2 linked regions of the Lonchura striata genome follow. The protein of the gene in region 1 interacts with the protein of each later gene in a biochemical or structural test. Links are inferred from orthologs where the notes say so. Each region holds a gene or a part of one and is shown in the gene's direction. Other genes may lie near its edges.

Evidence for each region.
Region 2: of the proteins of METTL22 (region 1) and KIN, one has a biochemical effect on the other in vitro, tested with the Homo sapiens proteins (2 studies listed by BioGRID). The link is inferred for Lonchura striata from reciprocal best matches to the Homo sapiens genes METTL22 and KIN.

Annotation. Positions count from the first base shown.
Region 1 is NC_134618.1:6,647,483-6,655,665, forward strand, and holds the start of METTL22 (methyltransferase-like protein 22), read left to right. Parts: upstream 1-4,790; 5' UTR 4,791-4,931; intron 4,932-5,732; exon of another isoform or gene 5,733-5,833; intron 5,834-6,505; 5' UTR 6,506-6,625; coding exon 6,626-6,821; intron 6,822-8,183. UniProt on the Homo sapiens protein: Protein N-lysine methyltransferase. Trimethylates KIN at Lys-135 (in vitro).
Region 2 is NC_134607.1:68,974,399-68,982,735, forward strand, and holds the start of KIN (DNA/RNA-binding protein KIN17), read left to right. Parts: upstream 1-5,115; 5' UTR 5,116-5,187; coding exon 5,188-5,301; intron 5,302-5,843; coding exon 5,844-5,938; intron 5,939-6,757; coding exon 6,758-6,801; intron 6,802-6,891; coding exon 6,892-7,014; intron 7,015-7,878; coding exon 7,879-8,060; intron 8,061-8,337. Other genes in the region: ATP5F1C (ATP synthase F(1) complex subunit gamma, mitochondrial), read right to left, coding at 563-718, 1,185-1,249, 1,643-1,786, 2,211-2,415, 2,773-2,904, 3,842-3,876, 4,977-5,020. UniProt on the Homo sapiens protein: Involved in DNA replication and the cellular response to DNA damage. May participate in DNA replication factories and create a bridge between DNA replication and repair mediated by high molecular weight complexes.

The DNA of each region.
Region 1 (8,183 bases):
GCCAAGGGAAAGCAAAGGCTATAAAACTGCAGGAACATTTAACCCAGCTGGATACAAGCTGTTAATCAGATATGAGATGCTCATCAGTGATACTCCGTGTCTTGGAGAGGTTTTGTTCTAATCTTGGGGCCCACAAAGTTTGTAAATATGCTTATTTTTAGAAACATTATTAAATAATCAATTTTAGCCATCAAGATGTGCAGAGGTCCTTGTAGACTCTGTCTAGACCGACTTTGCAGTAAACCTAAGTTAGAGCCTGCTAACCCCAGGTCCTTTTTTGACCAGACTGCTGACGAGCATTTATATCAAGAGTAAATCAACACTACATAAAGATTTAATTCCCACATCACTGTAATTTTTTTAGGCATTCATTGCCATGCTAGGGAACAAATAATTCCTGCAAAGTCAGAAAACTAAGAACATAGTTAACAAAACAATTTCATGTATTCATTGGGAAATGATTATAATGAAAGGAAAAAGCAGTAGTGCAAATTAGTTTCTCTAGAGACGCAGTTTCAATTTCCTGAGGTCTTTCAATGTTAAATTAGGATCTTTACCATAAAAGAGTCAAAATTTTAATCTAGGCTTAGCTTTATAGAGAAAGAACACTGCATAGACTAGGTGTTGGTTGCGTCTGCCAAAGTCAATCTGCTGTGCAGAATAACAAAGATAATTCAGAATATGCTCTCAAAGTTGCAGTCAATTATTAGTCCCCAGAGTGTGATGCAGCAAGATTATCAGTCTCCTCAAGCCTGAGCATGGCAAAGCTTCTGTAAGCAACTTTTACCCTCTCTGTTCTGCTCGCAGGGTTGGCTGGGTGCTGGAGGTTTCGTGGTGCTCTGGGAATCACCAGCTTTGCTTCCCAGGACTTTTCCCAGGTAAAATGCATCTCTAGGGCAGTTCCTTCTCAACTGTTCTGAACCTGTGCTGTTCAGGTGCAGCACAATCCCACTGCATTCCTTAGATTTCCCCAGTGCTTCTTTATTTCATTTCCTCTGCCCTGTCTGTATTTGTGAAGAGGTGACTGCATTACTAGAAGTAGATTATTTATAAACTGAAGAAGGGAGGGATTCCCACGATGTTTACCCCCCTGACTGTAGGAAAGCCAGTCAGTGCAAGTGTGCACCAATGACTGTAATTAATTCCTGCCATGGTGACAAGCACAATCAACACACCTCATTTCATTCACAATCCTTTTCCAGGAAATATCACTTTTTTTTTTTTCTCCTGTTTTTTTTTGTTTTTTTTTTTTTTTTTTTGTTTGTTTGTTTTGTTGGTTTGGTTTGGTTTTGTTATTGTTGATGGTGTTATTTTTGTTGAGTGAAGAATTAAATTCAAACAGTTTTACCATTCATTCTTCCAGTAAAGCTAACGGGATTCTAGAGTTTATTGTTCTTTTAAACTTACCACAACTACTTCCCCTGTGGCTCAAAAGAGAAAAGCTGTTAGACAATATACATTATTATAATTTTCAGATTTTCTGCCCTTGGAAATTAATAACTACTGATTGGCTGATATGAGGCTTGGCTATTCCTTCACAAATTTAATCTTTTCATCATGCACTTGTACCCATTCAGTTTTGAAGAGTCACAACCTACAATGAATTTAAAAAAGGGCTGACTAGTCACAATTTATCTCTGATGAGAGACTACAAGATATACAAGGTCCCGACTCTTACTCAATATTACCTGATCTGCCAAAAAAACCCATTGAATTCAAAGGGGGTTGCAGGAGGGACATACCTGAAGTAACCAGTACAGCTTCTTAGTACTTGATCAATGGATGAAACTGGCCCAATTCATCATTCCAAACAAGCAATTAAACTTTGGTAAAGTTGTCTGGCATGTAAGCTAAATTTAAACAAATTCCTAGGTCACATGGCTGTGAGGAAATCAGGAATGTAACTGAGGTCCATCCTTAAAAGAGGTACAGGAATTTACTGCCCAAGCCCTCTTGTGTGTAGTACAGAAACTGCATGTCCCTAAACAATTTTCATCATGTTATGTTGTGTTATGTTGTGTTATGTTATGTTATGTTATGTTATGTTATGTTATGTTATGTTATGTTATGTTATGTTGTGTTGTGTTATGTTATGTTATGTTTGTTATGTTATGTTATGTTTGTTATGTTATGTTATGTTATGTTATATGTTGTAACACCTGTAGCTGCACATCTTCTGCAGCCACAAGATATTCCTGCTTTGCCCAAATATTATGCATATGTGAAACGAAGTATCAGCAATTCTTAGAAAAGCAATTGCAGCAGCATTGCTTTTTAAGAAATCCATTTCTCACATAATGTACCTTTGTGTTTATAAGTGCCCATGTAACACAGCTTTTTAGCTACTTCTCTAATTATGCTAAACCTGTGTACCAGTAAGTGCCTCTTGCTGCAGACTGGTGAGATTTCATGACAAATGTAATCTGCTTTGCCTGCTTAGTGCTCCATAGCAGTGAGGAACATGCCAGAAGAGAGAGACACCGCAGTAATAATTTATGTGGCAGTGTATCACCAAGGGAAGTAAAATAATGTTCTGCTCTTTCACAGGAGACGGTTAAAAGGGAACAAATCTCCAAAGCATTTTTGTCAGATAGTCATCCAATAGAATTCCCCACAGTAATTGCAATGAGATAGCTGAATGGCTTCTGTGTTTTCCATTTAATTGCCACTCAAAACTCTTGACTGTAAAAATAGGGAAAGATTATTTAATTGTTTTAATAATTATTTTAATAATTATTAGCTTTTGTTGAGGGAGGCAGATGATAAGGAGACATCTAGAAATAGATACAGACTATAAATTATATTCCAAGGGTTTTTTATGCATTGACTAATACTTCCTAGTACTCATGAAAAATACAAGGATCATCTATAGCAGTTGACATTAGCATCATATGCTAATGAGGTAATCAATATGTAAATGGCCGCTTTTGAACAAGATCCTCCTGCTGAAAGATAAAACAGCTCCAACAGCTACGGCGGACTTGCCGAGGAGGCGAAGTAGAACGCAGATGGGAGTTTGGAGCGCACCTCTGTCAGTGATTTTGTACAGAGGGCTGGGCAGTGTCCGGCTGCTGAAGTGTCCTGGGCAGTGTCCGGCTGTGGAGGTGTTCCTGGCAGTGTCCGGCTGTTCAGGTGTCCCTGGCAGTGTCCGGCTGTGGAGGTGTCCCGGGCAGTGTCCGGCTGTTCAGGTGTCCCTGGCAGTGTCTGGCTGTGGAGGTGTCCCTGGCAGTGTCCGGCTGTGGAGGTGTCCCGGGCAGTGTCTGGCTGTGGAGGTGTCCCTGGCAGTGTCCGGCTGTTCAGGTGTCCCTGGCAGTGTCCGGCTGTGGAGGTGTCCCGGGCAGTGTCCGGCTGATGAAGTGTCCTGGGCAGTGTCCGGCTGTGGAGGTGTCCCTGGCAGTGTCCGGCTGTGGAGGTGTCCCTGGCAGTGTCCGACTGTTCAGGTGTCCCTGGCAGTGTCCGGCTGTTCAGGTGTTCCGGGCAGTGTCCGGCTGTGGAGGTGTCCCTGGCAGTGTCCGGCTGTTCAGGTGTCCCGGGCAGTGTCCGGCTGTTCAGGTGTCCCTGGCAGTGTCCGGCTGCCGAGGTGTCCCGGGCAGTGTCCGGCTGATGAAGTGTCCTGGGCAGTGTCCGGCTGTGGAGGTGTCCCTGGCAGTGTCCGGCTGTTCAGGTGTCCTGGGCAGTGTCCGGCTGTTCAGGTGTCCCGGGCAGTGTCCGGCTGTGGAGGTGTCCTGGGCAGTGTCCGGCTGTTCAGGTGTCCCTGGCAGTGTCCGGCTGCCGAGGTGTCCCTGGCAGTGTCCGGCTGTTCAGGTGTCCCGGGCAGTGTCCGGCTGTTCAGGTGTCCCGGGCAGTGTCCGGCTGTGGAGGTGTCCCGGGCAGTGTCCGGCTGTTCAGGTGTCCCGGGCAGTGTCCGGCTGTGGAGGTGTCCCTGGCAGTGTCCGGCTGTGGAGGTGTTCCTGGCAGTGTCCGGCTGTTCAGGTGTCCCTGGCAGTGTCCGGCTGTGGAGGTGTCCCGGGCAGTGTCCGGCTGTGGAGGTGTCCCGGGCAGTGTCCGGCTGTTCAGGTGTCCCTGGCAGTGTCCGGCTGTTCAGGTGTCCCTGGCAGTGTCCGGCTGCCGAGGTGTCCTGTCCCACACCATTGCCCCTCTGCACTGACCACACAGCCCAGCGCCAGACCAGCTGCCAGCTCGCCCTGGAGACGAGCTCAGCTGGGAAACGACTGCCGAAGAGACCACGGTTCAAAACGTAGAAACTAAAATCTGGTGGTCTAACTCTGAGGTAAATCTCTGTAGTTAAAGCCTCTCAAAGACTCTGGTTATGATGTTTCCACTCAGTCTTGTTTATTTCATCTGGTTTACACATAGTAAAAACTACATAGATAAAAACTTCAGAATTAAGCAACTAAACCCCCAATTCCCTACACAACTGAACACCTGTTGCTTCAGCTAATCTAACAGTGGTACTAGAATTCTGACATTATCTGGACTAAGGAAGAAACGCCTATTTGCCTCCGCAGATGTCTTCTCATTTTGTTTTCAAGCCGTTTGTAGATTTTGCCTGGAATTACAGATGAACCGAGACAGGGCAAGTGATGCTAGACACAATTAATAAAAGAACGCGAGTAGGAAACACGCGTTGAAACTCCGAGCAAGTCCTGCGGATGCTTCAGCGCCAGCCTGAACTGCGCTGCCGGCGCGGCGTGCCCGCCTCTCCGGCAGGCTTTCCGCGGCTTCAGCGCTGGGTAACTCCAAACGCAGGCGCTGGGCAACTCCAAACGCAGGCGAGCCCCGAGCACAGGGAGCACCCAGCGCCCGCAGCGCCCGCGGGGGCCGCCGGGCAGCGGCGTCAGCGGAAGGAGCCGGAAGGAGCCGCCACCTCCGCAGCGACCGCGGCAGGGAGCGAGCGGCGGGACCGGCGGGACCAGGAGGAACCGGGAGAGGTGCGAGCGGGGACAGGGGAGGGTGGGGCCTGAACGGGGAAAGGGGAGAGGTGGGGTCTGACCGGGGAAAGGGGAGAGTGGGATCTGAACGGGGAAAGGGGAGAGTGGGATCTGAACGGGGAAAAGGGAGACGTGGGATCTGAACGGGGAAAGGGGAGAGTGGGATCTGAACGGGGAAAAGGGAGACGTGGGATCTGAACGGGGAAAGGGGAAAGGTGGGATCCGAGCGGGGAAAGGGGAGAGGAGGGATCTGAATGGGAAGAAGTGAGAGAGCTGGGATCTGAGCTGGGGAAAGGGGGAGAGGTGGGATCCGAGCGGGGAAAGGGGGAGAGCCGCCGGTGGGACGCGGGACCAGAGCGGGGGAAAAGCGGGACAGGCGGGTCCCACCGTGGGGACGGGCGGGTCCCACCGTGGGGAGAGGCGGGTCCCACCGTGGGGACGGGCGGGTCCCACCGTGGGGACGCGGGACGGGCGGGTCCCACCGTGGGGACGGGCGGGTCCCGCCGTGGGGACGCGGGACAGGCGGGTCCCACCGTGGGGAGAGGCGGGTCCCACCGTGGGGACGGGCGGGTCCCACCGTGGGGACGCGGGACAGGCGGGTCCCACCGTGGGGACGGGCGGGTCCCACCGTGGGGACGGGCGGGTCCCACCGTGGGGACGGGCGGGTCCCACCGTGGGGACAGGCGGGTCCCGCCGTGGGGACAGGCGGGTCCCGCCCGTGCCCGCGGAGGCTCCGGCGGGTCCCGCAGCAGGAGCGGGCGCTCCCCGCGCACCTCTGCCAGGCTCCCGCAATGAACCCCGCCGGGACAGGGCAGGTTTGGAGCTGGCAGAAGTGAACAGAACTGCACAGCCACAGATACAGAGAATTCTTCCAAAGCCTGGAGCGTTGTCAGTGTGGATAGGTATGATGGTCCAGCAGGGAGTAGGGCTATACTAAGTTGATCACGGGTCTGGAGCATCATTCTTAGGAGCAAGGGCTGAACTTGAGAAAACATGACTGAGAGGAGCCTTCTTACTGTTTATAAACATTAGAAGGAGGGCTCAGAGCAGGGACCAGGCTGTGCTCCCTGGGGCCCAGCAATGGGGCAGGAACTGATACCCAGGAAGCTCCACCTGAATATGAGGAAGAACTTCCTGTGCAGGGACCGAGCACTAGAACAGAATAGAGTGTGTGTAGTCTCCCTCACTGGAGATACTCCAGAACCATCTGGAGTCCATCCTGTGCTCCAGAATGACCCTGCCTGAGCAGGGAGGTGGGACCAGATGAGCCACTGCGATCCCTTCCAGCCTGAAGCATTCAGTGATCTTGTTCAAGCACAATTGGATAATAGCAAATTTAGCATAATCATTCAAGATGTCAGTGCCAACACAGGAAGTGGCCTTATTCCCTTTGAAGACTTTGATTAGGCAGTGGCTGCCACTGAACTACTAACAGAGGATTCTGTAAAAGAGAGCCTTGGAGCATTCCTACTCTATTGAACAGTGTAATCTGATTTTTAGCTTCTGAAATACCTCTGGAGCAATGTTCAGACAGTGTCAGGCTGCCACTAAAAGCTGCCTGTGTTTGGTTTTAGGTTGAGTATCCTGATGAGTAACTTGTCTTGGAGCATGGTGGAGCTTGCACGATCACACCTTCTCAAAAACTATGTCCTGAGTTTCCCTTGGTGAGCAAAGCTGTTACTGGATACCTGTAAATGGAAGAGAATGGAATCCCTTTGTGGCTGTTTGAGCACTGCAGATGTTCCTCTCACCAGCACCCTGTGGTAGATTTAGCAGAGAAGGAGATGGATAACCCCACGTTTAGAAGTGACACTGTGCTGTCTGATGTTCACTTGCACTGCCCAAGCAAAAGACACCTCATGGTACGCCTGAATGCAGTTGGACAGCCAGGTAATGGATGCTGGCACTGATGGAACTGTATTTTAACTGTACTCAGATCTTTGGAAAGCTGAATCCTCCTCTAAGTGGTTGATATTAATAGTTACATATTTTATTCCAGTTACAAGCAGAACCACCTCCTACTCAGTCTTTAGAAAGAGGGCTAGCTGTGTTACCCTCATAAAATTAACGCCAAAAAAAGAAAACTTGCAGACATGTAGGATTTGTCTTAAAACTTGTAGGACTTGTAGGAAAACTTGTAGGATTTGTCTTAAAAATTAAACTTTGAATTACTTTCTGAGAAAAAGTAACCAAATTTACTCACTTGCAGGTTTAATTTAATGGTTCATTGAGCAATATTGTCAACGTAGCACTTTGGGAGTCATGAATTAATAGAAGGTTGTGATGTTCCTTATACACAAACAAAAGGCAAGAAGCCAGGGGTTTTAAATAATGTAACTTAAGTTTAAAATATAAGCTATCAGTAATTGTTTTATCAAGTTTAATTAAATGTTTATGTGATGATTTACTATCAGTTCCAAGAAAGCATAACAGCTTTCTTTGGGTATATGGTGTTTTTTTGCTTTTGGTGGGTTTTTTTGTTGGAGGGATTGGTTTTTTTATGGGGAGGTATTTGCTTAAAAAAAAAAGTCAACAAGAAAACTCAACATAGCAATGACTTTAACTGACAGAATTGGAAGAGTCAAGGCTATAGAGGAAATTAGTTGGCAAATGCCCCTGGCTGATTGCCAGCTTGTAGGTTGCTATAAAGTTGTCAAGGGAACTGACCTTGAAGCTGCTGACAAAATGTTCTGTACAAAATTCCTGCTGTGGCAGAAGTGTTAATTGTTTTTTCAAACCCAGTTGTGACATCAAAAGAGTAACTTCTGCAGCTGTTCTGGTGTATGACAATGTGAAAAATTATCCAAGTAGGCCTGACAAGGAAATTAATAATAATTTTGACCCTGTACAGGTCAAAACACAGGTAATTAATGCTGTGGTGGGTCTTCATGCTGCTTGGTATGTGTTAGCTGTGATTGTGATTGATGCAAGGAACCTTTCAGCAGAAGGAAGTGACAGGGGGTTCTGCCTACTTCAGTGAGCTCTGTCTGGGACATTCCTCTGGTTATTGAGACAAGAATTGCATTGTAGTAGGACAGCCTTTAATGCCATAACAATCTACCAGTGCCACTTTGCTGTGTTTTGGGGAAGTTTATGGGGATTTAGTCTCTTCCCCTTTGAGTCAGTTTGACTTTGCACCTTTTGAATGCTGTAGAAATGCATAGGATCAGAATGAATTTGGAGAACAAAGCATTTAATTCACTGATGGCATCCTCTGTTTCAGTTAGTTTCATCTGGCCATCATGCAACAGT
Region 2 (8,337 bases), on another chromosome or scaffold:
TTTCAGGTATCACCTCTTTCTCTCAAGTTGGTCATCAGAGCCATGCCCACTATTGCAGGCAGCCCAATTGCACATCACATCAGTTTCAATCACCAGTATCCTTCCAAGGAATACTCATATATTCTCTACTTGCTCCATGACAGGTGGTATTGAACTACTGTTTAAGTTCCCCCACCTTTAAATTGCACTGCACTAATTATATTTCCTGAATGAGTAAGTAAAGATTTATAAGAATTCAGGAAATTCTCAGAGCAGCCACATGAGAGGAGCATAGAGAATATTTAGCCATTGTAAGATTAGTTTAGTATTTCATATGCCTTTTAAATAATCTGTTATTTCACTTCCAGTCCTAGGCTTGTTTCTCAACAGCAATCCCTCTTTCCAGAGTCTACATACAGCTCACATTTGAAACAGAATCTCAATTGTACTGGCTAAAAAAAGCCACTCAAAGTGGAATTAAGACAGGAAATAGCTGATTTTTGAAGGAAAGGATTACAGAAAGGGAGGTCAACACTTTGTTGCTGAACAACTGAAGTCCTGGAGAAGCCAGGGAGCAGCTTACAAGCATTCTTGCTAGCGTTGTCCATGGCAGTCATCCTGGCGCTCTGCTCGCTGGTGGTGGATTCTTTCAGGGAGTAGTACAGAATGTTTGCTAGCGTGAACTCCTGGTAGTTTCTCAGCACGTCAGCATCAAGATCATCATAGATACTTAGGCTTTCTGCAAACCATGGAGGAGCAAACTTAGACACATCCAAGATTTGCTACTTCCAGCAAAATACAATGACACAGAGAAGATTACTTGTCTGGACTGTTTCAGTACTTAAGGCAGTACAGAGAGACTCCCTGAACATATTATGTGTACCTTCAGAATCTCTATGCTACTTATAATTCTGTTAACTGTTTTATGTGTTTTAGTTCAATTTAATATTAGGAAAGTCAGACCAAAGCAAAATACATTATTACCATATTATGTTTAACTTTCCCTTACAATGCTGCAGAAACATTCTCGGAGAGCACCTTTCTGAGCCAGCCTTGGACTGATCTTGGCCAAGACAAAACTATCTGTTAAACTATGATACAAGCACCATAATAAGATGTTTTAAAATACCATAGTCCCATTTTCAGAGTACTTTTCTTGTGATTTATCACTGCATGTAACTGGTGGTTTCTAGCTCCCTACTTACCAGAGCCAGCCACCGTTTCAAAGGAGAAGATTGGTTTCTCATCAGTCTTGTAAGAGATGACAGACCTGTACAAAAAGAGCAAAACAGGTTCTTCAGTTCAACTGAACTGACTCTAAACAGAATGGTTCAAATCAAATTAGAATAGACAACTTCTGGCTTTGCAATGCCACAAGGTTTTGTGATAACACTGATGAAAAGATCTTGGATACCACATGGATATAATGATGTGCTGACTGTAAATGTTACAGTGTTCACTACACACAAGTCAAAAAGGGAGTTCTAACCACAGCTACTAGAAAAAACAGCCCAGTTCTTGACACACAACAAAATCAAGAAGTGAATATGCCATATATTCCCTTTCATATTCCCTTTCAGTTTTCATACAACTTCATCAGGCCAATATACTCTTGGAAGCATTCTGCCAAGTATTTTTCCAGTGAAGTTTAGTTCAACCTTACCTGAACCGATTGTAGATGACAGAGCCTTCATCAAATTCATACCCAGAGTTTAACAGCTCTAAAGCAATGGCTGAAGCATCTCCAAAGCTTGGAGGTCTCCGTCCCACCTCTTTGAATGTCAGCAGGAAATAGTTGCCATGTGTCCTGCAGCAACACAAAACTGTGCTAGAACCAAGTGGATGCTCTAAAACACGAGCAGCAAGACTTACTAGAAATAACTGTTTGTAATTTAGGAGTGTTCAGAATGAAACATTTTACTGAATTAGAGTCTGAAAGAAACTTTGCCTTTAGTTAAACTACAATAGCTTCACAATACACACATGTGTAACAGCATCAGTTGCCAGCTTTTATTTCAAGAATATAATAGTGCTGTGCAGCAGTCTCTCAAATTGTGACATTATCAAAACCACTTTTAAAGTATTTGCAGTTTTTTTTTTACAGGAACTTGAATTTAACACAGTTCCCTTAAATGCAATTTCCTGCCAATGGCACACAATCCTACAGTCTTGAAATTTCTACCAGAGACAACAAAACTCTAAACTAAACTTTTGGACCCCATCCTTTTTACCTTTGAAGCAGGCCTCTGATCTTGTCACCTACTCCAACCACCATAACCTCCTTCCCTGCATTTGAGAGGTTGGTAATTTCATTCTTCAAGGTTTTAGCAATAGATGTATGGATAGCACCACACAGGCCTCGGTCAGAGGACACACCAATAAGGAGGTGCTTCTTCTTGTCCTCAGGTGGCTTTATTTCTGCTTTCTCATACAGAGCTGAAAAAAAAAAAAAGATCATAACATTTTTCAAGGGTGCCAAAAAAGCTAGTAAGTAATAAAAAATGCTCTGAAATATTCTAACTAAAACCAATACCAAAGGGGCTCCAGATCTCAGCCAGATTAATTTTATCTCCTTTGCAATTGTTCCAAGTTTGCACACGGTCAGACCAGAAGTGAGGAATAAACAATTCAGAGCCAGTCACAGCTCTGATCAGATGTCACTCAGTGAAGTTCACTGTGCAAATTCTTTTGGAAACAGACTACTGGAAGGTTAAAAAGCCTTGGCATTTTATCACCACTATGAAAACCTCCTCTTCTAATCCCCCATCACTAAGTGCAAGATCTTTCTCTCACACAGAGCTCCTGTTCCATAGACCCTCGCAGGCTTCAGCTCCCTCTCAGCTCTTGCGTATTTGGCTGCAGAAACCATCTTCATGGACTTGGTGATCTTCTGGATGTTCTTGATGGACTTCAAACGCCTGGTGACTGCAAGGTTAAGAGTTGAAGGTCATGGGCTGTACTGGGCACTGTGACTCAAGCCCAAACAACAAAATGCCAGCAAGAGCCATAAAAAAATATTTTGCCATGTTCCTCAAAGAAGAAGAAATAAATAAACAAACATCACAGAAATAAACCTCATGAAAGACCTTGGTACTTGCAGTAAGACTAAGAATGTAGCTAACACAGATTCATCTTTACAATAGAGATGTTATCTCCTTCAGATATAACATTCATTTAGTATTTATCCCAACATGAAGTCTATTTACTATTCTCTTTGCTTCCACCTCTACCTGTTTCACAAATATATTATTTGAGGTATAATGTCATCTTTCACAGATGACAAGCAGAGGAAACAAACAAACAAAAAAGTCCCCATAGTGTGAAGACAGAATAAATTTCCTCCTCTGTTTAGACTGTGGTAAAATGACATTTATAAAAACACTAATGCAAAAAATAACCAAAACAGGTATCCCATTGACAAGCACAATTCCAAGGCAATATCCCTATATAAGAACTATGAGGGATGGCTTAAGGAAGCATTATCACACTGAAACCATTCAGTCAATCCTTTTTCCCCCCAAATGCTGCACAAAAGCACAAGGAAATAAACATAAGATAAACTAAGTTAACTCTTATAGGTGAGCAGAAATCTGGTTTAGCACATACAGTAAAAATATTTTTAAAATCTATTTGAGTAAAACTATAAAAAGACATTTAAATTACTGCCAAAGCCACTTCAAGCAACTCCTTTTCTGAAGGACACTTGTTTAATGTGATTAGCACTGCAGGCCTATATATCATTGTTATACATCACAATCATACCCAACAGAGGCTAAACAGTATGCTTTAACATATGGTTTTCAACATATGGCTTTCCTGCAACATTTTGCCTCTCTCAAGAGCAGTTAAACCCTTTACTTACTGTCTTTTAGCGTTGCCATATTCCTGACTTGGCCCCTGAAAAGGAATGCAGGAGAAATTAGGATAATTCACTAGCTCTCCAGCAAACCAACACCTGCCAAGGGCAAGTCCCTTTCAGGGTGATGTTGCTGTTTCTTACAAAACGTGTGGCAGAGAGAAGCCACTCTTACCTGTGGCTTGCATGCACACCTTCATCCTTCCCTACCTTATATAATTTCACAGAATCAATTAGGTTGGAAAAGACCTCTGAGACCATCAAGTCCAACCTATGACTGAACACCACCTTATCTAAGTGGTGCCCTAACTAAGCCACGGGCACTGAGTGCTACATCCAGTCTTTCTGCAGATACCTCCAGGGACAGGGACTCCACAACCTCCCTGGGCAGCTCATTCCAATGCCTAACCACGACTTCTGTGAAGAAACTGTGAAGAAACAACCTAAACCTGTGTTGTCATGTCGCTGAGAGGAGGCCAACTCCCACCTGACTGCGCTGCGCTGTCAGGGAGCTGTAGAGTGATAAGGTCACCCCGAGCCTCCTTTTCTCCAGGCTGAGCTCTTCCAGCTGCTCTTCAGAGGACTTGGGCTCCAGACCCTTCCCAGTTCCCCTTCTCCGGACTCGCCCCTGCACCTCCGAGTCCTCCCTGAGCTGAGGGGCCCCGAAGCGGCCCCAGGACTCGGCAGCGCCGAGCACAGAGAAAGGTTTAACGCCTCGGCTAAGGGCACGGGGCAAACGAGGGCATTAGAAGGGCAAATTAGAAAGAAATATTTTTAAACAAAGCTTCGTGCAATGCAATTCATTTCTAAAGGCTATTAAAACGAAGCAGAGGAGGCCAGAGCAGGGTCTCCTGCCATGTATAAACTTGTCCCTTTAACCCTTGCCTGTCCCATTCTCCCACCCACCGAGGACGGAGCCTCCCTCCCTGCGGGTCCCCGCTGCCCTCATCTCCCGGCACCGGCTCCGCCACCTCCCCTCAGAGCCCACAGCCCCTGACGGGCCGCCCGCGGCCGCGACCCCGCCGCCCCCAGGCGCCGCACGGCCAAGGGAAGCCATCCCCCCCTCACCCCGCAGAGCCGCCCCGGCCATCGGGACGCGTTCCCCCGTGCCCAGAGCGCCCGTCCCAGCCCGTGCCGGTACCATTGCGGCTGGACCAGCGCGACCGCGCCGCCCCGGGCGAACATGGCGGCGCCTCCACCACAGCCCCGCTGAAGGTCAGCGCGCCCGCAGCGCGCCTGCGCGGCCCCGCCGGGATCCGCTTCCAGGGCGCCGCCGCCATTTCCGGAGGGGGCGGGAGCCGGACCGGGACCGGGACCGGGAACAGAACCAGGACCAGGACCTGACCGGCGTCATGGGGAAGTCGGATTTCCTCAGCCCCAAGGCCATCGCCAACCGCATCAAGTCGAAGGGGCTGCAGAAGCTGCGCTGGTACTGCCAGATGTGCCAGAAACAGTGCCGTGATGAGGTAACTGCGGGCGCTGGGGGGGTCCCCGCTCCTTCGGGCGGCTCCGGTCCCCGTCTAAGGAAGGAGTCCCGGTTCTCCTGGGGTCAGCTCTTGTGGCAGCTCCGATCTCATGGAATGGCTTGGTTTGGGAGGACCTTAAAGCTCATCCACTTCCAACCCCCTGCCATGTGCAGGGACACCTTCCGCTGTCCCAGGATGCTCCAAGCCCTGTCCAGCCTGGCCTTGGACACTTCCAGGGATGAAGCAGCCACAGCTGCCCTGGGCACCCTGTGCCAGGGCCTCGCCACCCTCCGAGGGAAGAATTTCTTCCCAATATCCCATCTAGCCCTGCCCCCTATCAGTCTGAAGCCCTTGTCCCTCGTTCTGTCAATCTCCCTTGTAAATGTCCCCAGTGCTATCGAGGGGAACATTGTGGGAGCTGCGATCATACTTGTAGGAGTTTATTTGTAGTAGTTTATTTGTAGGATTTTTAGTAATCTCTTCATCTGTGAGTGTTGCAAAATGAGACGAAGACAAGCCAAGTATTTATTTCTGCTTTATAGAATGGCTTCAAATGTCACTGCATGTCTGAGTCTCACCAGAGGCAGTTGCTGCTGGCTTCTGAAAATCCTCAGCAATTCATGGATTATTTCTCTGAGTAAGTTTTCTGTATATTCTTACCCAGATCTTCATGCCTGTGTCAGGTTTGCACAGCCATACCCCTAAGATCCAATAATGCCCCATTGAAGACACTTTATTGTGATACATGTTAGTGTCAGGTCTTCTTGTAATTGAAAATTACAATGCCACGTTTAAACTTTAGATAAGAGATTTCATGATTTTATTCAGTTTTGTCTCATGTTGTAATCCTGTTTAAAGTTGCTCTGTGTTAAAAATACATCACTTTTCTGTCCCTGCTGAATGACTGCCACACACACACAAGCTAAAAGAGCCATAACAATGAAAGAGCAAGTCAGGGGAGGGACTGATATGCCCCAGCTTCTCCCAGGCCTTTGTCCAGCTGACTTACGTGACAGCTGGGATGACTGGAACTGTCCTCAGCACGAGTTTGAAGTGAGGTTTTATGCTGCAGCCCTGGGGAATTAGCAGGGAGATGAGTGATCCATCTGCTCCATCCACTCCTCTGCCCTTTGTCCTGCCCTCTGCTCTGTGTCTGTCAGCCTGGGAAGACACCTGGTAACCAAACACCAGCAATTAGTGGGAAGTGTTGAGATTCCTTTGCTCCATTTTATGCCTTTGAGAGGCTGTTACTGTCTTGTACATTTGAGGTGTGTGCATGTATCATATTGTGTTTCATCCTGTGTTTGATCCTGGTCTGCTGCAAAAGGGAAATGTGTCTGAATATTGTCACACTCAGCTCAAAAGAGTAATGAGATGTTTAATTCTTAATGACAGCAGAAAATTGCTTCTTAGTTGTTAAAGCTTACTAAAGATATTTTTTTTTTTATTTCCTTAGGGAATTCCGAAATGATTTCCTAGAATTGCTCAGAAGGCGATTTGGTAAATATTTTGCTGTTTTTTTGTTTTTCTTAGTGTCTTTTGTTGGTTCAGTGCAAGCTACATAATAGTAATAATAATTCTGTATTTTAGGAACAAAGAGAGTCCACAATAATATTGTGTACAATGAATACATCAGCCATCGAGAACACATCCACATGAATGCCACACAGTGGGAGACACTGACTGATTTTACAAAATGGCTGGGGAGAGAAGGTAGGTGTACCTGCTCAGGGAAGTCTTAAAATTATTGGGTAATTGAATTCTTGGTAATTGATCAGTAAATATGTTAGTTCTTTTTTCTTTCTTCCCCTCTCCTCCTGTATATACAAGAAAAGATTTCCAAACATATTTCTGTGCTAACCATTAGGAGTTTGCTTGTGGAAAATGTGAGACGTCTGGGATGAGTACATCACTTGTGAGCTTTTCTTGCTTTCATCTGCTGGTCTGTATTTACTGGATACACTGCTAAATTCTGAATCAACTGCTAACAGTTGCCATTTAAAAATTACAGATTATTTCCATGTCTGAGGTGACAAGAAGCAAGCAGTCACTTTAATTCCTGGCCTAGTGGAAGGGTTAGAGCTGGAGATCTGCAGTTCTGTGTTTAGTGGGAGGAAGAGAGATTTAATGGCACTGTGGTGTGACAGAAAGTTTACTTTGGCTCTGGATGCCCTTGCTCTTCAGGATACATCCAGCAGTTGCAGAGTTTGGAAAGTCTCTTGCCAGAGTTGGTAACAATAGCACAGTACTGCAATATTTCCTTTAGTATGGTACTGTGAGTGCATATCATTTATACATGCTAGATTTCTGTCTTCTTCCTTGTTAAAACAGTGGGAAGGAAACATTTTCTTCAATAAGGAAAGTCTTGTAAAACACTTCATGCCCTTTGTGATGTACACTGGCCTGTGTCCAAACACATCTGGGTAGCTGAGGGCAGAAACACGTGGTACAGATAATTCAAAGTCAGTTTTAGCAGCCCACTTGTCTCTGGTGAAGTATCTGCATTGCTACAGTGAACATGGACTAAAAATGATCTTGATATTGTTAATTTTACTTTGTTTTTGCTTGACCTTTTAGGTCTTTGCAAGGTTGATGAGACTCCTAAAGGCTGGTACATTCAGTACATTGACAGGGACCCAGAGACCATTCGCAGGCAGCAAGAACAAGAGAGGAAGAAGAAACAGGACCTTGATGACGAGGAAAAAACTGCTAAATTCATTGAGCAACAAGTTAGAAGAGGTTTGGAGGGGAAAGAACTGGTGAGAAAAATTGCACTCTGTGTGAACCTTCAGCTCAAAGCTCTTGTGGTTAAGTCAGTGGGGAGTTTGATGCTCCTGGAAGCCTTGCACTGGTATTTCCTTTGCTTCCTAACTTGGATTACATTGTACCCAGCTTGCAGTAGTAGTAAAGAAGAAATAATTACTGCTCTTCTAGTGATTAGTGATTTAAAAATCACTCTAGAATTTACAAAGCAGGAGCAAATAATCCATTAAGCTGCATGATGTCTTAATTTGTGGTATTTCACAGCTATGTAGG